Linked DNA regions of Pelodiscus sinensis. The protein of the gene in region 1 purifies or fractionates together with the protein of each later gene. This does not show direct contact. Links are inferred from orthologs where the notes say so. Each region holds a gene or a part of one and is shown in the gene's direction. Other genes may lie near its edges.

Evidence for each region.
Region 2: the proteins of JUP (region 1) and DSG2 purify together in Homo sapiens (affinity purification with western blotting; 3 studies listed by BioGRID and IntAct, with this or other methods). This does not show direct contact. The link is inferred for Pelodiscus sinensis from reciprocal best matches to the Homo sapiens genes JUP and DSG2.

The regions. Positions count from the first base shown.
Region 1 is NC_134739.1:9,925,884-9,936,822, forward strand, and holds the start of JUP (junction plakoglobin), read left to right. Parts: upstream 1-5,960; 5' UTR 5,961-5,973; coding exon 5,974-6,116; intron 6,117-10,939. UniProt on the Homo sapiens protein: Common junctional plaque protein. The membrane-associated plaques are architectural elements in an important strategic position to influence the arrangement and function of both the cytoskeleton and the cells within the tissue.
Region 2 is NC_134712.1:73,105,016-73,115,305, reverse strand, and holds the start of DSG2 (desmoglein-2), read left to right. Parts: upstream 1-6,237; 5' UTR 6,238-6,378; coding exon 6,379-6,429; intron 6,430-10,290.

The DNA.
Region 1 (10,939 bases):
ACAACTGTGCCCCATGGCTGCAGTGCATTAGCGGTGTCAATTGAGCTCTGCCGAGGGGAAGCGCAGCCGGGCCTGTGTCATGCAAATAGCTTTCAGACGCGCGGCTCATTGATATTTTTTAATGGGGGTACGAACCGCGCCCGGAAGCAGTCAGGAAATGGAGTTCTAATAATAACCCTTCTCCTGGGCCCGACCACGGGCTACCGAGGGACCGGCTACAAAGGGCAGTGGCAGCTAATTGTGTTATTCAAGTTGTGTGGAACACCCTAACCCCTGGGCAGGAGACGCACATCGGCAGCTGGACAGGCCCCTTATGCTTGTCAGTTCGTTAATCGGCAACAGGGGCTGGGGAGGTGAGACCCTACAGCGCTGATAGGCCGCAACGAAAGGGTGACGGTGTAAGTCACCCGGCCAGGAAGAGCAGCCCCCGAATAACTGACGTGTCCCAGAATCCCATGTGGCGGGAGCAAGGAGGCAGCCATGCTGACGGCCAGGCGCAGCGAAGGATCCGTTTTGATGTGTTGGTCACTTGTCAGTTTCCAGGCCCCCCTCCGCCCCTCCCGCAGCCTCTTTCCAAAGCAGGGGCAGGAGAACTTCACAGCTGGCCTTCCGAGTAGACCCTGCAACTCCGCAGAGATCCGCTTTCCAGCCACGGCTCATTTGTGTGGCTACGGATGGGGCCAGAACATTCTGGATCCGTGCAGGGCTCTACTTTCGAGTCCATTCCTATTGGCGGCAGCAAGGGTGTTCCCACAACTGGGCCCCGGGCGGGTGAGTTCTTTCTGGGTGTTGAAAGGAGATAGGCTCCCTTGTTTCTTTCCTCCCCATTCCCAGACGCCTTTCTGAGGTGCAGAAAAGGCTTCTCAAGTTTTGGCTTTTGCGCTCTGCTTAATTTCATTGGCCCACGTTTTGCCCCAGAAGAACCTGGTCTTGTGCACAGACGCACCGGTGCTAGCCCAGTGCGCAGACCGGCAAAGCTCTATTTGTCCAGGTTACACGTGGCGTCTAGCTTCCGGAGCAGCAACTACACCAGGTTTCAGGGGGTGTATACCCCCCCCTGAATTTCCCCAACACCCCCCTCCCAGTTTTGTGAACTATGGTGCCATACAGCCCACCTTCACCCTCACGGTCTCATCCCTCATCAGCCCTGACACCCCCCCTTGTAAATTCGAACACCCCCCCCCCTTAATTTCAATTCCTGGGGAGGCTACTGCTGTGCAGGGAGGGCAGCCTGCCTCCCGGAGGGATTGGCTAACTGTTAACAGATTGAGTGGCGTTAACAGTAGGGAGGTGAATGACTAGTCGCCTCCCCGCCTTGCTGCCTCTATCAGAAAGAGGCAGCAAGGGGGAGGGGGGAAGAGGTGAGGGTGCTCAGAGTCCCCAGCTGACCCCGGGCTCCATGTGGCACTGCCGCTTTGAAACGCCGTGGGGAGCATGGGGCTAGTGGGGGACTGCCTGAGTCCGTCACTAGCCCCATGCTCCCTGCAGCGCTTTCGCCTTTGAAGTGCAGCAACAGCCCTGGGGCTGTTGCTATGCCTCAAAGGAAAAATCACCCTTAACGACTAACCAAATAGTCGATGCAAATTTGCATCGACTATTTGATTAGCCAAATAATCAAAATTGTACATCCCTAGGTAACAGAATACTGACAGTTTCTGCACTTCGTGTGTGAGTCAATTGGACCTTAGTTTATAATTTGCCTTAAAAATATGTCATTTGTGTAGTGCTGAAGATGATAAAATCACAGCTCTAAAAAGCATTCCCCTTAGGGGCTTAGGGGCTCTAGTTTAATAGCACTGGAGAGGGCCCCATAAATCCTAAGGACAGTCCTGCTGGGCATCCCGCCGGGTGATGGGTTAATGTTGGTCTCTGCTTGTGGGAACTGCTGTTAACTAGGGATGTAAAATTTCAATTATTTGGCTAATCGAATAGTCGATGCGATTTGGCTGTCACACTCCTGGCTTCCAGGAACAAGCTCTTGGGTATGTGAGGACATGAATTTGCTGTCTTGCAACCATCGGCATGCAGCCCTCTGCAGGTGTTTAGCCAGGGCTGCCCTGCCTGTCCAGGGGTTCTTCAGAGTGGCATGCCGGTCCCATTAGCCAAATCTCTAACTAGTTATATATAATGTGTGTATATTCATTTCCAGGACTGGCAAGCAATGAGTAACTCTGTAATCGCGTTTTCTCTATTCTGGCATCTTTCACCTGAAGCTCTCAAAAGATGGATTAATTGGGACATTGGCCTAAGTGCCAATAATAATCAAGACATGACAAAAATACTTTGTGTTTCTAACAATGCTGAGGCTCTCCAAGCACATTCCGGCCGTAAATGAACAAATCCTGCCCTTTCCCCTGGGAGGGGTGTGTCAGGTGGGCACTCTCGCCTGAAGAAGAAGCTGTCCTGGTGAGCAGGTCCAAAGTGACTAGTGATCTCGGGTGTCCAGTTAGTGACAACTGCGCCTGCTTTTCCAAGGTGCCAAGCGATCGTGACTCTAGTGAAGTTCATTGGAGCTGTGCTCTTCCGAAAATCAGAGCACCTGAGAACTGAAGACTCCAAAATCAGAGGCTAAAGAGACTCCTGAACCAGTCAAAGGCATAGTAAGGAGTAAAACTAGACTTAGAACATAAGAATGGTCAGACTGGGCCAGACCAAAGGTACATCCATCCCAGTGTCCGGTCTGCCAACAGTGGCCAATGCCAGGTGCCCCAGAGGGAGTGAACTGAACAGGTACTGATCAAGCCATCTCTCTCCTGCCATCCATCTTCACCCTGTGACAAACAGCAGCTAGGGACACCATTCCTTACCCATACTGGCTAATAGCCATTAATGGACTTAACCTCCATGAATTTATCTAGTTCTCTTTTAAACCCTGTTAGAGTCCTAGCCTTCACAGCCTCCTCAGGCAAGGAGTTCCACAGATGGACTATGCACTGTGTGAAGAAGAACTTCCTTTTATTTGTTTTAAACCTGCTGCCTATTAGTTTCATTTGGTGGACCCTAGTTCTTGTATTACGAGAACAAGTAAATAACTTTTCCTTATTCACTTTCTCCACACCACTCATGATTTTATAGACCTCGATCATATCCCCCTTAGTCTCCTCTTTTCCAAGCTGAAAAGTCCTAATCTCTTTAATCTCTTCTCATATGGGACCCATTCCAAACCCCTACTCATTTTAGTTGCCCTTCTCTGAACCTTTTCTAATGCCAGTATATCTTTTTTGAGATGAGGAGACCACATATGTATGCAGTATTCAAGATGTGGGCATACCATGGATGTATATAAGGGCAATAAGATATTATCCGTCTTATTCTCTATCCCTTTTTTAATGATTCCTAACATCCTGTTTGCTTTTTTGACTGCCACTGCACGCTGCATGGACATCTTCAGAGACCTATGCACGATGACGCCAAGATCTCTTTCCTGATTAGTTGTAGCTAAATTAGCTCCCATCGTATTATATGTATAGTTGGGGTTATTTTTTCCAAAGTGCATTACTTTACATTTAGCCACATTAAATTTAATTTGCCATTTTGTTGCCCAATCACTTAGTTTGGTGAGATCTTTTTGAAGCTCTTCACAGTCTGCTTTGGTCTTAATTACCTTGAGCAGTTTAGTATCGTCTGCAAACTTTGCCACCTCACTGTTTACCCCTTTCTCCAGATCATTTATGAATAAGTTGGATAGGATTGGTCCTAGGACTGACCCTTGGGGAACACCACTAGTTACCCCTTTCCATTCTGAAAATGTACCATTTATTCCTACCCTTTGTTTCCTGTCTTTTAACCAGTTCTCAGTCCTTGAAAGGATCTTCCCTGTTATTCCAATGACAACATAATTTACGTAAGAGCCTTTGGTGAGGGACCTTGTCAAAGGCTTTCTGGAAATCTAAGCACACTATATCTACTGGAACCCCCTTTTCCACATTTGTTGACCCCTTCAAAGAACTCTACCTTCTATTCTTAACCCCCAGCCAGAGATATCTGATTAATGTGCTGCTATTTTGTTGTAATAATAAAAAAATGTGTCATTATGCCACCTTCTTCCCTCTCGGCAGTGCTTAATATGACACCTGTCACCACTATTTTGGCTACAGAGGCTTTCAAGACACACTGTATCTCTGCAAACCTTTCCGAGAGACAAAGAACCCAAGTCCCAAAATATTTCAAATTCAAGATTCTTTATGAATGTTTCAAGCCAGACGCAGGGTTATCGGAGAGCAATTGAGGCAGATGCCTCAGGTACAAGTCCTTGGCAGCTGTAGCAAGCATCTGTTCGTAGTAAAGGCGTATGAGGCTGCTGGGGTTTATTTTTCTGGCCATTTGTCAGCGTCACCTGTGAGCTGGTGGCAGGGTGTTAAACTGTGAGATACTCTTCCTACCAGCTCGCTCCTTTCCCTGTAGGCCAGGCACATGCTCTCCTCATTGCTTTTTAATGGGAAGTCTTTTATCATTTCTGATCAGCGTTTTTGCCGTCCCTGGGACTCTGGAGTAGAAAAGTGACTGTTTCAATTTCGCCTCCTCCGGACTGGTTGCACAGTTGTTCCTGTCTGGGTTTGTGCTGCGCTACAGGGAACACAAGGGAGAAACAAATATTTTTGCAGGAAGTTAGGCGAGAAATGGAATGACACCAGGAGCGTGCGGCTGACAGCGAGAGAGGCAAAGGAGAAGGCTCTTGCATACCATTGGGGAATTGTGTTGGTCCAGAAGGGAAGCCAGTGCTAGATGAAGAGAAGAGAACCCAGAAAACTGTGCAGCGTGGCTGGAGCTAGCGCACCAAGTTGTTGCTGAATAAAGAAGGCTGCACTGAACTGGCTCCAAAGGAGGGGTTTGAGCATGAGGTTGCTGAACATGGTATGGCCCCCTGCGCTCAAACAGTTTAACCATGCACAGCCACCCCAGAGGTAGCCATTGCTGCTGTCCACGGCAAGCGCCTTCTCCAGGTCCGAACTTAGGCACAGCCTGTGTCTCTCCATCACCATCCCGCAGTGCTCAGAGGCACGTGACCAACATGGCTCCTAAGAACAGGGCCTCACTGGAGAGTGGGGTGCTATGGGAGGGGCCCTTTGCTGAGAGTGGCACTGCTGTTAGGTGAAGGTAAATGGGGCTGTTGGATGTGTCGGGGGAGTATCTTTGGGGGAGGAGGGACAGGAACAGGGGTAATGGGGGACAAGGTGGTAGCTCAGTGGTTTGAGCATTGCCCTGCTAAATCCAGGATTGTGAGTTCAATCCTCAAAAAGCCCATTTAGGACTTTGGGGTAAAAATTGTCATAGATGGTCTTTGGTCCTGCTGTGAAGGCAGGGGACTGGACTTGATGGCCTTTCAAGGTCCCTTCCAGTTCTAAGAGATAGGCAATCTCCATTAAATTTATTTAGTGGGGAATAGGACTGCTTTGGGGGGGGGGGGGGAGCTGCATGAAGGTGCACAGGAATGTGCGGCAAAGAGCTCTTAGAGGGCTGATCAGCTTCCAGCCCTGATTTTCCCCTGCCAGGCTCCCTCACCCCCACCCCCATCTGTCCCCAATTCTCCCTCTGCCCCCCTATTCCCCCAGACTTTCCCCTGCCCCAAACTCACCCCCCAGGTTTGCCCCTACCCCCCAGACTCCCCTTGCCCCGCAGCTCTCGCCCAGGCTCGCCCTTTCCCCTCCCCCAGCTCCCTGTCCTTTCGCAGGCTCCTCCCTCCTAGCCCGAAGCCCCGCCCCCACCTGCATGACCTCATCCAGGTGAGCGTCTCCCGTCCCACCTGGCCTAGGGACACGCCCTCCCCCGCCCACTGGCCCTTCCCCGCCGTGACCGCCACCCCCGTCGTCCAATCGCGTCCCAGCTCCCCGACCAAGCGCCAATCCGCTTCCGGCCCGCGGGCCCGTCCGCCCTGCGCTTTGTGGGCGGCCAATCGGGAGGCGCTCCATCGCGCCAGGTGGCGGCGCAGCCCCCGCCCGCGACGGCGTGACTGAAGGGCGAGCGGGCCAATGAATGGGCGGCCACGAGCGGGCGGGGCCTGTGTCCTTGGGGACCGCGGGGGCGGGGCTGGGTTGCGGGCTGCGCTCGCCTTTTGTTTGGTGGGTGCGAGCCGGGCAGCCGCCAGTGTCGGGGCAGAGCGGTGCGGCGCAGCGCAGGTGAGGGTCGGCCCGCGGGCTCCCCCGAGAGTGCGTGCGCGCGCAAAGGGGGAGAGCTGAGTGTGCGTGCGTGTGCAAAGGGGGGGCCTGAGTGTGCAATCGGGGCGGCTGAGTCTGCTCGCGTGTGCAAGGGGGAGAGCTGAGTGTGCGCGTGTGCAAGGGGGAGAGCTGAGTGTGCGCGTGTGCGTGTGCAAAGGGGGAGAGCTGTGTGCGCGTGTGCGTGTGCAATGGGGGCGGCTGAGTCTGCTCGCGTGTGCAAAGGGGGAGAGCTGAGTGTGCGCGTGTGCAAAGGGGAGAGCTGAGTGTGCGCGTGTGCGTGTGCAAAGGGGGAGAGCTGAGTGCTCTCGTGTGCAAAGGGGGAGAGCTGAGTGCTCTCGTGTGCAAAGGGGGAGAGCTGTGCTCTCGTGTGCAAAGGGGGTGGGTGAGTGTGCAAAGCGGGGCGGCTGAGTGTGCGCGCGTGTGCAAAGGGAGGGCTGAACGTGTGCGTGTGTTAAGGGGGGGCACTGAGGCGGCGCTTCACCCGGGCTCGCGTCTGCCCGGCTAGGAGCTGGTGCGTGTCCGCTCCGCGGGCCGCCGGCTGCTCCGAGCCAACGCCCTGGCCCTGGGAACCGAGCTGTCCGGGCCGGGTGGGGCCTTCTCTGGCTCCTCGGGAGCTCCGGGCTGGGGCGGGGCTCAGCGGGGTGTTGGCGAGCTTGAGGGGCTCCGGGCTGGGGCGCAGCGGGGTTCTGGCGAGCTTGGGGGCAGGCGGCGTCCCGGCGAACTTCGGGGAGGGGGGGGTCCGGGCGAACTTGGGGAGGGGGCGGTCTCGGCGAGCTTGGAAAGCCCGGCCGCTTGCGGTGGGATTAGCGAAGTGCTGCTGGGGGGCTGTGCTGGTTTGGGGGAATCTGGCGCAAGCGAAGCCAGGACGCGTCCAGGCGCCCGGTAAAGTTCGTGCCGGTGGGAAATTGGGGGCGGTTCAGACTCGCACATGTTTGTGTCCCGCGTTGTCCGCGCCAGCCAGGTGCTGTGTCGTGTCCCTCCCCCCCCCCCTCCGTGTGGCCCTTCTAGGGAACCCTGCCTTGCCAAAACAGGAGTGTCACCAGTAACCTCATCACCCTGCACTGAACACACGCTGAGGTCGCTATTAATCAAAGCAGTTAATGGCTGACGGCAAACCACTTGTAGGCAGCCTGTTACATAGTTCCAGAGATCGGTATTAAATTAGCCGTCTAATTTGCAAGTGCCTGGAGTCTCTGTTGGAGCAGAAGGCTTGCGGGGTGGCTGCTGAACCTCTCTCGTGAGACGCTGTTTCGCGCAAGAGAAATTGGATCCTGCTGGAATCTGGAGAATGAGACAGGAGCCTGTTGTTTGCATCCTGCAACTGCTCCAGAAAGCTGGACTGTGCATTAAAACCGAAAGGGAAGTGGTGTAAACTGGAGGCGTCTTGCGTTTTCAAACCTAATTAGCTGTCTTTTCATTCAGGCAGTGCAACTTGATGGACTCCTGGATGACAAATTACAAAAACTGCTGAGGGGTGCGTGCTGCAAATCTATTTCAGCTGGTCCTTGAAATGGTTCCTTTTTTAAAGCTCACAATGGGCGTTTCCTGTTCTCTTGCTGGATTCCTGGGGAGCAAGTTTGCAAATTGTCTCCTTGACTGGGTTTTCCAGGAGAGTGCCATTGCTGTTTCTGTAACTGTTGTGATAGGAAGGGTGTCATTCTGGCTCGGCTCTCGCCATGCGAGCTTAAGATGGCAATCTCTTACTGAGGCATGAGCCACAGGCATTTAAGAAATCCTTCCTCTGTGTAATTGATTGTGCAGTGAATCAACATACAATCAGCTTTCAGGGTGTATTTGCGCGTTTGACATATTAGTTTTCTGAGGTCTCCTGTCCATGTATTATAAAATGCTCCCGACCTGCTTTCTTAGCTTGCATGCGGTGACTGACTGAAGTGTATGTTCTTGCAAAGCACGATCACACATCGGGCTCCCAGCACTTTGCAATGGTTGGAAGCAGGGCTGGATTACCCAGTAGGCAGACTAAGCCCGTGCTTAGGGGCACCAAAAAAAAGAGATTTTTACGGTATAGTATTGTTTTTATTTTGAAAAAGTGGCGAGGAGTCCTGTGGCCGCTTTTGCAGATTCAGACTAACACAGCTCCCCCTCTGATACTTTTTATTTTGAATTACATATGGGGAGGGCATCATAATCTTTTCAGTGTTTAGGGCCTCTAAGGGTCTTAATCTGGCCCTGGTTGGAAGGAAGATGCTGTTACAAGCTAAGTGTAGACTCTTTGTAGGGAAATTGCCTGATAGGAGTCCCCAGCAGTAGCCCTAGAGACTTGCCTTGTATCTAGATTGCCAATTGCCTGACAAACAGTTGTGATTTGCAATGTAAGCTTGGCCTCTACTTGAAAACTATATTGGCATATGGATGTGGGATGGGACTTGGAAAAAACCACGCCCCAGCAGAGATGTAGCCATGTTGATGAAATAGTTCTGGGAGGTGGTGTTTCTTCACTGGAAGAAAAAAATACAGCAAGCAGGTGATGTCTCCTACCAAATTCACTGTCCATTTTGAAAACAAGTAGTCCTGTAGCACCTTAGACTAACAAAATAAAAAGCATGAGCTTGCTTTCGTGGGCAAAACCCGCTTCCTCAGATGAACAGAGACTGTCTATTTTGGTCAGTTTCGCAGTCATAGCATTTGTGAAATCCACAGCATCAGATACTTAAATTTTTAGATTTCATCGGGTTGTCACAAAGCATAAACATGTAAAGCCCTTCAGACAGCATTTCTCAAACGGGGGGGTCCCAATCCAAAAGGAGGTCACAAAGCTATGATGGGAGAGGATTGCATATTGTCACCCTTATTTCTGCTCTTATCTGTAGAGCCAGGTGGTCAGACCATGGCAGCTTCTGGCTGAAAACCCAGTTTTGAAGGCAGTGCCACTGCAGTATTATCACAGAAGTAAGGATTGCAATACAGTGCCCTCTCTACAACAGCCACACTTTGCAGGGGAGATCATGGTCTGGATGGAACACTTTTTTCACAGCCGTGAATTTGGTAGGGCCCTGTTTATAAGAGCTTGAGCCTGTTTGTTATGCTCTGCCGTGTGTTGGAGTAAAGTCAATTTAGAGCCGAAAATCTTGTGTTCTCATCTTGCTATCAGGAACGGTCTGTAAGTGAGGGGGAGTTAGTATTTCAGTGTGTGGAAGTAGGGAGGACTCCGAGGCTATGTCTATACTGCTGATTTTTTGGCAGAAGATATGCAAATCGCAGCTCTCCTTTGCATATCCTCTGCCGCTCCTTTTTGTGGGAGAGGTTTTTCCACCAAAAAGCGCTGTGTAGATGGAGCCATTTGTCGGGGGAAAAAAACCCCTTTTTCGCAAGATCCCTTATTCCTCAAAAAATGAGGTTTACAGGATCTTGAGGAAAAAGGGGTTTATTCTGAGAAATGATCCTGTCTACATGGGGCTTTTTAGTGGCAAAATCTCTTCTGCAAAAAGGATCCAAAGAAGATATGCAAATGAGCATGGTTTGCATATCTTCTGCAGGGGGGGAAAAAGGCAATGTAGACAACCTGAGAGTGAGGGTAAGGAGGGAAGGAATCTATTCAAATCTTGTAGCTAAAAACTAAAAAGAGTCTGCGAAAGGAAGGAATCTGTGCAGTGAAATTAGAAGCCTGTTCAGTCTGCCATGCTGCCGTGCTTTAGGGAACTTGTAGAGGAGAGGTTGTCTGGCTGGTATTCGCTTAATTAATTAGGTTTACAACAAAGATGAAAGGACAATGCCAAAATGTTGCTGGGAGTTGCCTGGGAAAAAATGCTCTTGTATAAGGAACCTGAAAAGAGAATCGGAGTTAAAAAAATGGATGCCATAAAATCAGTACGAACATGTATGCGTGAACGCCCTGATGTTCTTTGTACTCATTAGGGAGGGTGCATGTTTAATTATATGGCGAATGCAATGAGAGCTGGGTGCAAGGGAGTCCAGGCAGTGTGCTTGGTGCTGCCGTAACTGCACAAAAGGCACCTGAACATGCGTTTTCGAAGTTGGAGGGCTTCTCCACTCTTGAAATGCTGCAATTGCATTTTGTGGCTCCTCTGCGTGCTGATTCATTACAGCGACAGGAGGGGTTCTCCGATACAGACAGTTTATTTACCTCCCCCGAAGTTGGAAGGGTTCTTCCCAGGACTAGAACCCTCTATGTGAGGAGACGGCCTGGTTTACCTGCATTTCTTAGGGGGGTGGATTTGAGAATCCGAGAGAGCGAGCTGAGCTGACTTCACTTTTGCAGGCAGACCTGGTCTCGGATGCTTCTGTTGGTGTGAAGTAGCTAAACACAAAGCAGCTGGTCTTTGGGCTTTCTATCCTGGACCGATATCTGCCCCAGTGTGGAAAATTGAACCTAGCACGTGGTGTGGATAAAGGTGGCTGGTGGGAATTTTGAAGTCGGTGTGATGCTGTATCTTCGATTTAAACCCTCTATTCTCACTTAAGAGTGAATATTGTAGCAAAGCCTGCTTAGATCTGACCTGCAGAAGATACGAGTGGTGCGTGCAAGATGAGACAAATTGTGCTTGTGGCTTTCTCGGGTAGAAATGAAAAGTTTGGGAACGGCAAAAGACACACACAAACACCTTTGGCCATAATACCAAACGCTCTGAAATTGCCTGGCGTTCTGCAGAGTATTTAAAGATGCCCTTTTCTTCCAGGCCAAAAAATAGTCTCAGAACAGAAACTTCCCGTCCTGAAAATGTGCTATTTATTCCCAGGATCTGTGTCCACGTTCTGAATTCTCAGGGAGGGTGTTCCTTGCGGGTGTATTCCCATCCGACTGG
Region 2 (10,290 bases), on another chromosome or scaffold:
AGGCTTGCCCAGAAAGATCATCGCTGTGTACTGTACTTAAGAAAAGACATTTCAGATAACATACAAATCCATATCAAATGACCTGGGTTGTTATGCAGCTTGAAACAACAAATGACTTGTTCTGCCACTCCCTTTTCTGTACAGTGTAAGGGACTTTCTTTTTCATGTTTTGGTAAAAGAACTTGTGTTAAAGAGCAGAATTTTGTGACGGTTTTAACAGATTTGCCAAGCAAACAGGTCCATGTTCAACACTAACTAAAATGTGTAATGTTACAATTCGCATAATTTAAATGAATTATTATTAAAGCAACTTTGCTGAACAAGGAAACAATTAGTTATCTATTGACACTCCTGTAGGGGGACTGCATCTTGCCTTTCCTATATCCATGCTGCCCAAAGTCTGATTCAAAATTCATTGAAGTCTGTGGGACTATTTCCTGTGTTTTCAGTGAGCTTTGGATCGTGCCTTGAAAGTTCTGTATTTGGCAGCCTACCCTGTAGTATCGCCCTACAGCTTCGCCCTGAATTGGAGGTAACATTTTCTACAATCATCAGCATCATGCTCCCCTGCAGCCTGCCATGATCACTGAAGAAAAAGGATCAAAGTATAGCACAGCAGATGATATCTAGCTACTTCAGTCTAGCCACTGGTACCACAAAATACAAGGGTGAAAGAGAAAAGGATAGGGAAATACACAATTAGAACAAGAAGTCCTGCAGCACCTTATAGACAAACAGATTTATTGGAGCATAAGCTTTCATGGTCAAAGACCCACTTCGACATCTGATGAAGTGGGTCTTTGCCCACGAAAGCTTATGCTCCAATAAATCTGTTAGTCTATAAGGTGCCACAGAACTTCTCATTTTTCTTGCAGATTCAGACGAACATGGCTACCCCTCTGATACTAATAATTAGGACAGAGAACATAGAATAGGGATGGGAAGAAAGATAAGTGGGAGGGGGAAAAAAAGAGATTGAGTTTGAGAAGAGGTAGAACAGGAGGAGGAAGCAAATCATTCCAGTCATTTAAAGAGAAATAAACATCTTAAATTTATTAAAAAGAGATGAACAGAAGAGAGATAAAAAGGATCAAATACTGTTTATGAGCATAGAAAAATCAGAAGCATTTATGTGTCCAACTACCATGTATGTAGTAGCAAGTAATGACAGTGAACCATTCTTCCTTGTCCATACTTTCTATTTCTCCAATATTCTCCCATGAGCCCCAGACTTGTAAGCACTGAAGTCCAGGCATAGCTTTGTAATGAATGGAGTTATTCCCTTTATAAAGTTAAACTTGTTTAATGGATCATGCCCTTAATATGAAGAGAGCTTTTCTTCTAATCCTCTGTATCAATTAGGCACCTTAAAACTGATAATTGTATACATAGACCTTAGATAACATTTTCATCAGTAGATCTCAAAGGAGATCAGTATTATTATCCCATTTTACAGGTGGGGAATTTGAACCACAGAGATAGACTGCTTAAGCACAAAAGGTGTTAAAATTAGTGGTAGTTGGAAGTGGATTCTTGTGCAACTGTGAAATCTGGTCAATGCCCTTTAATTGCAAATAATTTTTGGACAGATTATTGACAATAGTCATAAAAATGGTGTGGTAAGAATTTTAAAACAGTGGAATAGGGTGAAGTGTGATTTTTAAGACAATGAAAAACATTCTCAGTTACCTTAATATGACACACAAAGAGCTCAGAGCATTTCATCACAGCTATACACTGAATTTCCTCTTGTAGCAGCACTTGTTTAACACTGTACCTGTTCCGTTTAATTCAAAAGCTAGAAAAAAAACCAGATAGTTTGTCTTTGGTTTCAACACTTTAAAGGCATTACAATAGATTTGTCATTAATTTAATAAGGAACTGGGTTGTTCCTTAAGGCTGGATATTTTAATTTATCTCCTCGCCCTCTTCTTCACCAAAAAGAAATGAATCCTATTTGAATTTCAGCTAGAGTTGTTAGCGTAGCTTTACTCACCATGAAATGGGAGTGGCATTTATGAGTGATCATATGAGAATGTATCTACTGGAAGCACACAAGTATGCTCATAATAAATAATACTGTGAATTAGTACAAATGTATATTTTTATGAAATTATGTTTTTGTTAAAACTTTGAGGAAATTTATATAGATGTTTAAACTTTTAGAAAAGAATAACAGTTTAGGGCCTGATCTTATGCTCCTTGAAGTTCAGTAGAAGCTCAGTTATGAATACCTTAGGAAAGGAAGTTGCTTTTAACTTCTGAAATGTTCATAATCCCAGACAAAATTGTGGCTATTCTTTTAAAAAGTTTACAACTGAACATTGATTTAATGTAGCTTTGAAACATTACTATACAGATAAAACATGCTTTTAACTATCTTTATTTCTGTGCTTGTTTTATTTAAATTGTTTTCTTACCTTGTATCTTTAACTTTCCCTTTATCTTTTCAGTAGTTTTTGTTTTAGCAGCACAGTACTTGACTGTTTGTTTGTTTGTTCTTGGGTGGTTGAGTATTTTTTGTTTGTTTGGTGTGTGGTTTTTTTATTTTGTTTTTTTGGTCTTAGCTGCTGCCTGATTCAATGTTTCTGGTTCCAAATAAGGTGTGTGCTTCATTGATGTGTTTGTAATTTTGGTGTTTGTTATCCTGCAATTCTGCTATAATTGGAAAGACTTACACTAAATCTTTCATGGGCTGTGAATGGGGCTTGGTCATTTGTAGTTTTCAATAATGACCAGGATATTATGCCCAAAACAAACAAACAAACAAAACCTCAGCCTGAGAGTTTGGACCTATTTCCGCATTGCTTTTCATCATGTTTGAACTTTGTACCTGTATCCTTCTGTTCTTTCTCGTACAAGCACCTGTATCTTTGTATAGTTTACCTTTGTCATGTATAAATGGATTTCCTGGGCCATAATTGTAGTTTCCAGTTGCAGTGCTAATGTTAGTAAAGTGCTGCGATCTGTTTAAAACATTGGTGATTCTTGAATAAAGAAGCAATATAAGAGAAAATTATAATTTTAGGGTGACCAATGATGCATGCCATACTTTGGAGAACAGGACTGAAGCCCATAATAGTATCTGTAGTTTTAACTGGGTGAGGAAAACTAGATTCAAAGCCCTGGATATATTATGATTGACAGTTTAAGAGCCCCCACATCATTAGAATATAAATGAAAGTGTCTCGTGTCAAAGATCAATAAGGAAAGCTGAAAGGGCTAGTTTACAGCATGGATCCATGTAACTGAGTGGATGGTCACGTGGTAAATAAGGCTGGAAACAAATGTGGAGTCAGCTCCTGGATCTGCCAGTACTGTGTCAACTTCAGCAAGGCACCTCCATACAATAGGGATAATATTTCCCCATCTTAAAAAGAAGCTGTTGCACAGTCAAATTCATACAAACATGTAGTATGTCGACGAGTGCTATAAACATTATATGAAATCAGGAAGCTCTGCATTAGTGGCAACTGCAATTATTTGCAGAAGCTTTGACTACCCATGTGAATGTTATAAGCATCACAAGAGCAGATTCAGCAAAGGGATGTTCTGAGAGCAGAGCTTCTGCATACTCAATGGTTGATCTTTCTTTGGCTGTGTTCTGGGGGAACACTTCTGCTCCCTGCTATCTCACTATTCCTGCATTTGGCCCTGCTACAACAAATGCTTTTGCATTGAAGTCAATGAGATAGGCAAGCATGTAATTTTAGTTACAAGTGTTTGCAGGATTGGGGCCTCAGTAATATACACGGGCCTATTATTTTTAATTGATTTTAAATCAAAATGAGGTTTAGCTTTATTTTAACTTAGTTGTAAAAATTTATTTCACTAATCAACATACTTTTTAACAAATGGCTCTAACAAATAATTAGCAATTTGATCAAAGTTCCACTTGGCTACATTACAGAGCACACATATAAAAATCACCATCATCCAGCAAATGAGCAAACTTCCCTTACAGATCCTTGAAATAATGAAACACTTTCATTTATATTGTAATTATGCTAGAGCTCTTTAAATCGTCAGTCATAATACATGCAGATCTTTGAATCTTGGTGTAGCTCACCCAATTAAAAATATTGTATACAGATCATATTAAAGGCTTTGGTCCTGTTCTCCACTGTACACTTTAAAATAATAATAATTTTATTGGGATTACAAAACTTCAAAATAGGATGTCAGCACTTTACTTATATTAGGTATTAAGCCTCAAACCCTGTTTGTGAGGAACAAAAGCATTAATACACCAATTCACATGTAGCTATACTTCGTTACACAAAAATTACGTTTATTGACCAGTGAGACTGTTACTCAGTGGTTGAACTAGGAATATAACACTGTAATCACTATACTTGGACATGTAGTATCACTGATTTTTTTCTAAGTAACAATATGATGTGCATAAAAAGGCAAGAGAAGCTTCTATATCACTGTATCCTAAATCAACAAAAGCGAAGACATTCTGAGACAATGCATATTCTGTGTCCTCAGTTTACCACTGTGTATAAGTGCAGCTGTTTCACATAGCTATGAGATACTACATGTATAACACAAAAGGCTCCCCATTAACTACTCCTCTGAAAGGGTCCTAATTCTGTTCATGATATTTACAGTTGATTGCTTCAGAAATTATGTGAAAAGATTTACCATAGCTGAATCTGACCTGATCAACCCTAATTAATCAGCATCTATTAGCATATAGGTGTTCCATTCCCTGTAAAAGTAAGATGCACACTAACCTTAATTTCCCACACACACACCCGCCTGCCCCCATATAATTAGTGTCTGGACTGGTCAGTGTTAAACAGGTGGTGAGCAGAGAGCAGTATCAGAAATGGATACAAAAAAAAGTGCATTCAGACCACGGAACACAGATTAGGAGTATCAACACTGCAGGTTTTGTTTGAGCAATTCTTTTTACTTTCCCATGAGTCCATGTTTTTTCCTGTAAGTTACTCATTAATGAAGGCTGCCCCTTTGTAACAGGATTGTCAGCTTGTAAAGCACACCTACTTGCTATGACTTGTAGTGTTCTTTTGTATGGTGAGAAGGGGAAAATGGAAAGAGCGCTCCCTATATTTGAAATCCTTCTAAACTCAGATCTTCATCCAAAACCCGCTCAGAAAGAAAAACATGACTGTTGATCAGATGTGGGAAATACCCTGCAAGGGGTGGGCAAAAACCTGTCCTGTGAGAAGCAGATACTTTATAGCAAAGATCAAAAGACACAACAGGTAATATCGCCAGTTTTATTATTCAAACTCAGCACTCACAATGGCGTTTCCCCCGGATCCTAACTGAGATAAAAATAGTTGTAACATTAAAAAAAAAATTAAAAGTTCTCACCTTAGAAACTTCAAAGAGCCACCAGACTTAGAGGATCAACAACCCCTGATCCCCGTAAGCGGCCCCTGTAAGAAGGAATGGAGCCACAGCTGGTGGTGAAGGCACAGAGTCGGTCAGTGGCCAGGGCTGCTCCCTTGCACGAACTCGGCAGTGGAGGGGGTGCGCTGGGATCTGCTGGCCCAGCAGGCCCTTCCAGGTATGCAGCCACCCCTTGTGCGCTGGCACAAACCATAGCAGTCCTTCAGATCGCAGCCTGTGGCGAGCTGCAGGGACTGGGCGGCGACTGCAAACATGGCCGACTTATCCCTTAGGCACAGTGCCTAGGGCCCACGATACTTTTAGGGTCCACGAAAATGTTTTAATTTTTTTTACAATCAGAAGAAAAAAAAATGAACTTTTAGGGTGGAAGCAAATGTTTTAATTTTGTTCTCACATCAGAAAAAAAATGAAACTTTTAGGGCCCACGAAAATCTATTCAATTTGGCCTAAGGCAGAAAAAAAATGTTGAAGTATTTAAAGTTATAGCAAAAATCATTTTTAATAATGATATGATTATGGTGGGAGGGGCCCACGAAAGTCATAACGCGGCCCTGACTGCAAAGTTAGTGCCCAACACCTGCAGCGTGGAGCTCGTCTCCTCTCTCCCCAGCTCCTACCCCCCTTTGTGTCTGCCCGGAGCTGGGCAGGAGTCGGAGGAACTTCCCCCAGGCTCCGCTCCCGCAATGGCAGCGCCGGGAAGGGGACGCGCTGCTGCTGAGGGTCCAGCCCCCAGCCAGGGCGAGAGGCTGGTCCGCCAGCGCCCTGCAGCCCTTCCCCTTTGTGCAGGGCGGAAGCGCTGGGGCACCCCCGCCTCAGAGGAAGGCGGGATTCACCTGCCCCCTCCCCCAGGTGTGCCAGTGTCAGGCCGGCCCCGCGCGGCGCACTCCTCCCCAGCCCCTCCGGGCGGCCCCATTGCTCGCCGAGCGGCCGCGGAAGGAGCCCGACGCGGACACTCTCGGCTGCTGCTGAGGACACGGAGCGGGCTGGGCTATGGCGCGGGGCCCGGCGGCGGGCGGGCTGGAGGCGCTGCTGCTCCTCACGGTGAGTCCCGCGGGCGGCGGTAAGCGCCGATTGCAGGGGCTGAGGGGGATTGAGCCTGCGGCCTGCAGGGGGGCTGGTCGGGGCGGGCTGGGAGCAGCCTGCCGCCCCCGTGCGGGAGCTGGGGGGTCGCGCTCTGGCAGCTCCCTCGGCAGGGGCTTGTGGGTGCCTGCTCCGTCTCCCTGCTGCGAAGGGTGACCGCGCCCACCAGCTACCCAGACACACCTCGCCCTGCCTCCGGGCTTCGGCTCCCAGCGAACATGCCCTGAGCTCGCTGCTTTTCTTTTCACCGATCTAGAAGCATTCAGCTGTGGGGCGAACACAAACTTTTTGAAAACATGAATTCCGTATCCTAACATTATTACTGGCTTAGGTTTTTTAAACGCTGTTTTCAGTGGGTTTCGGGTTTGTTTATAGCAGTTTCTTAATTTTATTTGGTCACCGAACCCTTTTAAACTCAAAAGAATTTTGCAGAACCCCTAATAACAGTAATAGAAATGTAGCCGCGTTAGGCTGGTGTAGCTGAAGCAAAATACAGGACAATGTAGCACTTTAAAGACTAACAAGATGGTTTATTAGATGATGAGCTTTCGTGGGCCAGACCCACTTCCTCAGATCAAGTTTCCTCAGACACTTACCTTCCTTCCTCCCCCCCCCCCCCATCCCCCTCCTGTTCTGAAATGTGATTTGTCCTTTTCATGTGTGTTCATTTTTTTAAATTGTATCCTTTGGTATATATGGTTGTGACTATTTTCTTCCACTACTTGATCTGAGGAAGTGGGTCTGGCCCACGAAAGCTCATCATCTAATAAACCATCTTGTTAGTCTTTAAAGTGCTACATAGTCCTGTATTTTGCTTCACCTAATAACAGTATGATATATAACAGGCAATTGCACCACTGACTGACTGTGAGCATAGCTCTGAGTAGTGACATCATTATCCCCACTCTGGCTTAGCTGGCATTACACAGGGACACTTATCTTGGCACAAATGAAAATTGTTTTCAATAAAATTCGTCAGTTCTTAAATATTATTTTTAATCATAAAATGTTATTGTCAAGGAGTTTTCTCGCAGAACCCTTATTTTCACTTTACGGAATCCCAGGCTGCGTCTAGACTGGCATGGTTTTGCGCAAATACTTTTAACGGAAAAGTTTTTCCGTTAAAAGTATTTGCGCAAGAGAGTGTCTATACTGGCATGCGCCTTTGCGCAAAAGATTTGCTTTTGCGTAAAAGCATCCATGCCCAGTGTAGACGCGCTCTTGTGCAAGAAAGCTCCGATGGCCATTTTAGCCATTCTTGCACAAGAAATTAACATGGCTGTCTACACTGGCCCTCTTGTGCAAGAATACTTGCACAAGAGGGCTTATCCCTGAGTGGGTGCGTTGGAGTATTTGCACAAGAACCACTGATTTTGTACAGTACAAAGTCAGTGTTCTTGCGCAAATACTCGCAACCAGTCTAGACAGGCGGCAAGATTTTGCGCAACAGCGGCTGCTTTTGCGCAAAATCTTGCCAGTCTAGGCACACCCTTAGGTTTCCACGGAACCACATTTGGGAAACACTGGTTTATAGTCAGAGCTGGTTAGAAAGATAATTTCCATCCCATGAAAATTTTTGCATGGCTTTTTTTCCTCTGTGGCAGAGGAATAATCCTGAATTGGGATGAAAAATCAAACTTTCCAAAAATAGGTGTCCCAGCTGGCATGAGAGCTGCAAAGGGGGTCTATGTCTACACTAGCGGGTTCTTGCGCAAGAACAGCCGTTCTTCTGCAGAGTGTCCACACTGCCCACCCGCTCTTGCGCAAGAATGTTTACAGTAAAGCGTGATAAAAGAGGGCTTCTTGCGCAAGAGCTAAGCTCTTTTCTAACAAGTGTAAGGCCCTCTTGCGCAGGAGCTCTTGCACAAGAGGTCGGTGTGGACGCACGGCAGGGTTTTCTTGCGCAAGACAGCATCCACACTGCCATGAACGCTCTTGCACAAAAGCACATGGCCGTGTGGATGTGTTCTTGCGCAAGAATTATCTTTTCAACCAGCTCTGACTATAAACAAACCAGAAACCCACTGAAAACAGATTTTTAAAAATGATGTTCTTGCGCTAGAACCTGACAGTGTAGACATAGCCGGGGAGGGCCACCTAAAGGAACAAGGAAGGGATACCCCATTTAGCAATGAAGAGTTTTGGCAGGGCACAGGGGTGCACCCCCAAGCGCACCACAAATCACCTACCCAGGCTTGCTGGCTTTTTGCTTTTTGGACTGACTAGCTGCCCAACTGATGGGCAGGAAAGCCATCTTGTTTTCTAGGCTTGCAGGCTTCCCATGGGCTTGGTTAGTGGATGGTTTATCAGGTGAGATACTAGATCAGCAGCCAGCCTATCTCCATGCCTGCCTTTTCTTGAAAGTTTTGAAGGAATTGACACGGTGCCATGATGCATTTCGATCCCACTGAAATCTCATTTTCAAATGGAAAACTGAGTAGCTGAAACTTTTTTGACCCTCTCCATTTATAGTTTCTTAAGATAACTGTAAGGACAGAGTCAACTTAAAATTCATGTTTGTTGGGAAAAGATTTACACACTGTTGAAAGAGATACAGTGGGAAACTTACAAATTTTAAGTGGTTTGAATTTTTCACTAATTTTACCAGTATCCCTGACTGTGCAGGAGGATCCACATGGGAATCCCCTTGCTCTGATGCAGAGACCATTGGCCTTCTGTAGACTAGGAAAAATATGCTTTTCTCAATTGAGTTAGCTCAAGTCTAGGCAGAACCATAGTCTATAAGCAAACTTTTTAAAATCAAGCTAATGTATTAAGCAATATCTGTCATTAGTTGAGCAAATAAAGCAACAGTTAGCTTTGAGTGTAAATCTCCTTTTTTCCCCTCCTACTGACCTGGTTGCAAGCATAACAGTCCACCTGAGTAAATTAATTGGAAGATATCTGAGTCATTTTACAATATCCTTTTAAAAGTTATTATTTATAAAGAAGGCATTGAAAGTTTTAAAAACGTGTGTGTGTGTGTGTGTGTGTGTGTGTGTGTGTGTGTGTGTGTGTGTGTGTGTGTGTGTGTGTGTGTGTGTGTGTGTGTGTGTGTGTGTGTGTGTGTGTGTGTCTCCTCTACCTTAGGAAACCTCTCCTTTCCTCTCTTCTCTTCATTTGCTGTCAGAAATATTTGGAATTCCCTTTTCTTCTCTCCTCTCCTCGTTTCCTGGGGGTACCTTTGGAAAAATGAAAATGAGAGCTTTCTTGGCTCTTAGTTGAAGGGGTTGGTGTGTTGACTCTGTAATAAAATGTTGAAAGAAAAGATTTCTTTGTTTTTTATCTGAGTCAGTGAGGATAAACAAAACAAAAACAAAAATAAGTGCTTTAAGGAATGTCTAAATTACGTTCCCACAATATTTGTTCAAGTTTCAGTTCCTTGATACATGTGATATTATAATTGTAGGAGACTGCCAGGTATCCATAGAAGGATTGGTTTGTTTATTTGTAAAGAAAAACAGGATAACAAGATCTGATCCTCTACTATGAAAAATATTTGGGGGGGGCAAACTTTCAGGCCTTTGTCGTACATTGCAAGGAAAAAAGTATGGTACTCTTTCCTTGTTTTGTGTTTTTTTTTTTTAACTTTGCAGGGCAAAATTTTGTAAAATAAATTTGGCCTTATGCTGTCGCTCCTTAATAATAATAGTTCCTGTCACACTGACTTGTAATGGGATTAAAACATGTTGACCAAATTGTCCCCTTCTGTAATGGAAATTATGGGAGGGAACTATTTGCAAAAAGTGGTGATTTTTCCCACAGCACCCTGTTAGGACCTGTGTTCTCCCCTCTCTCCCTCCCCCCCCCCCCCCCCCCGCC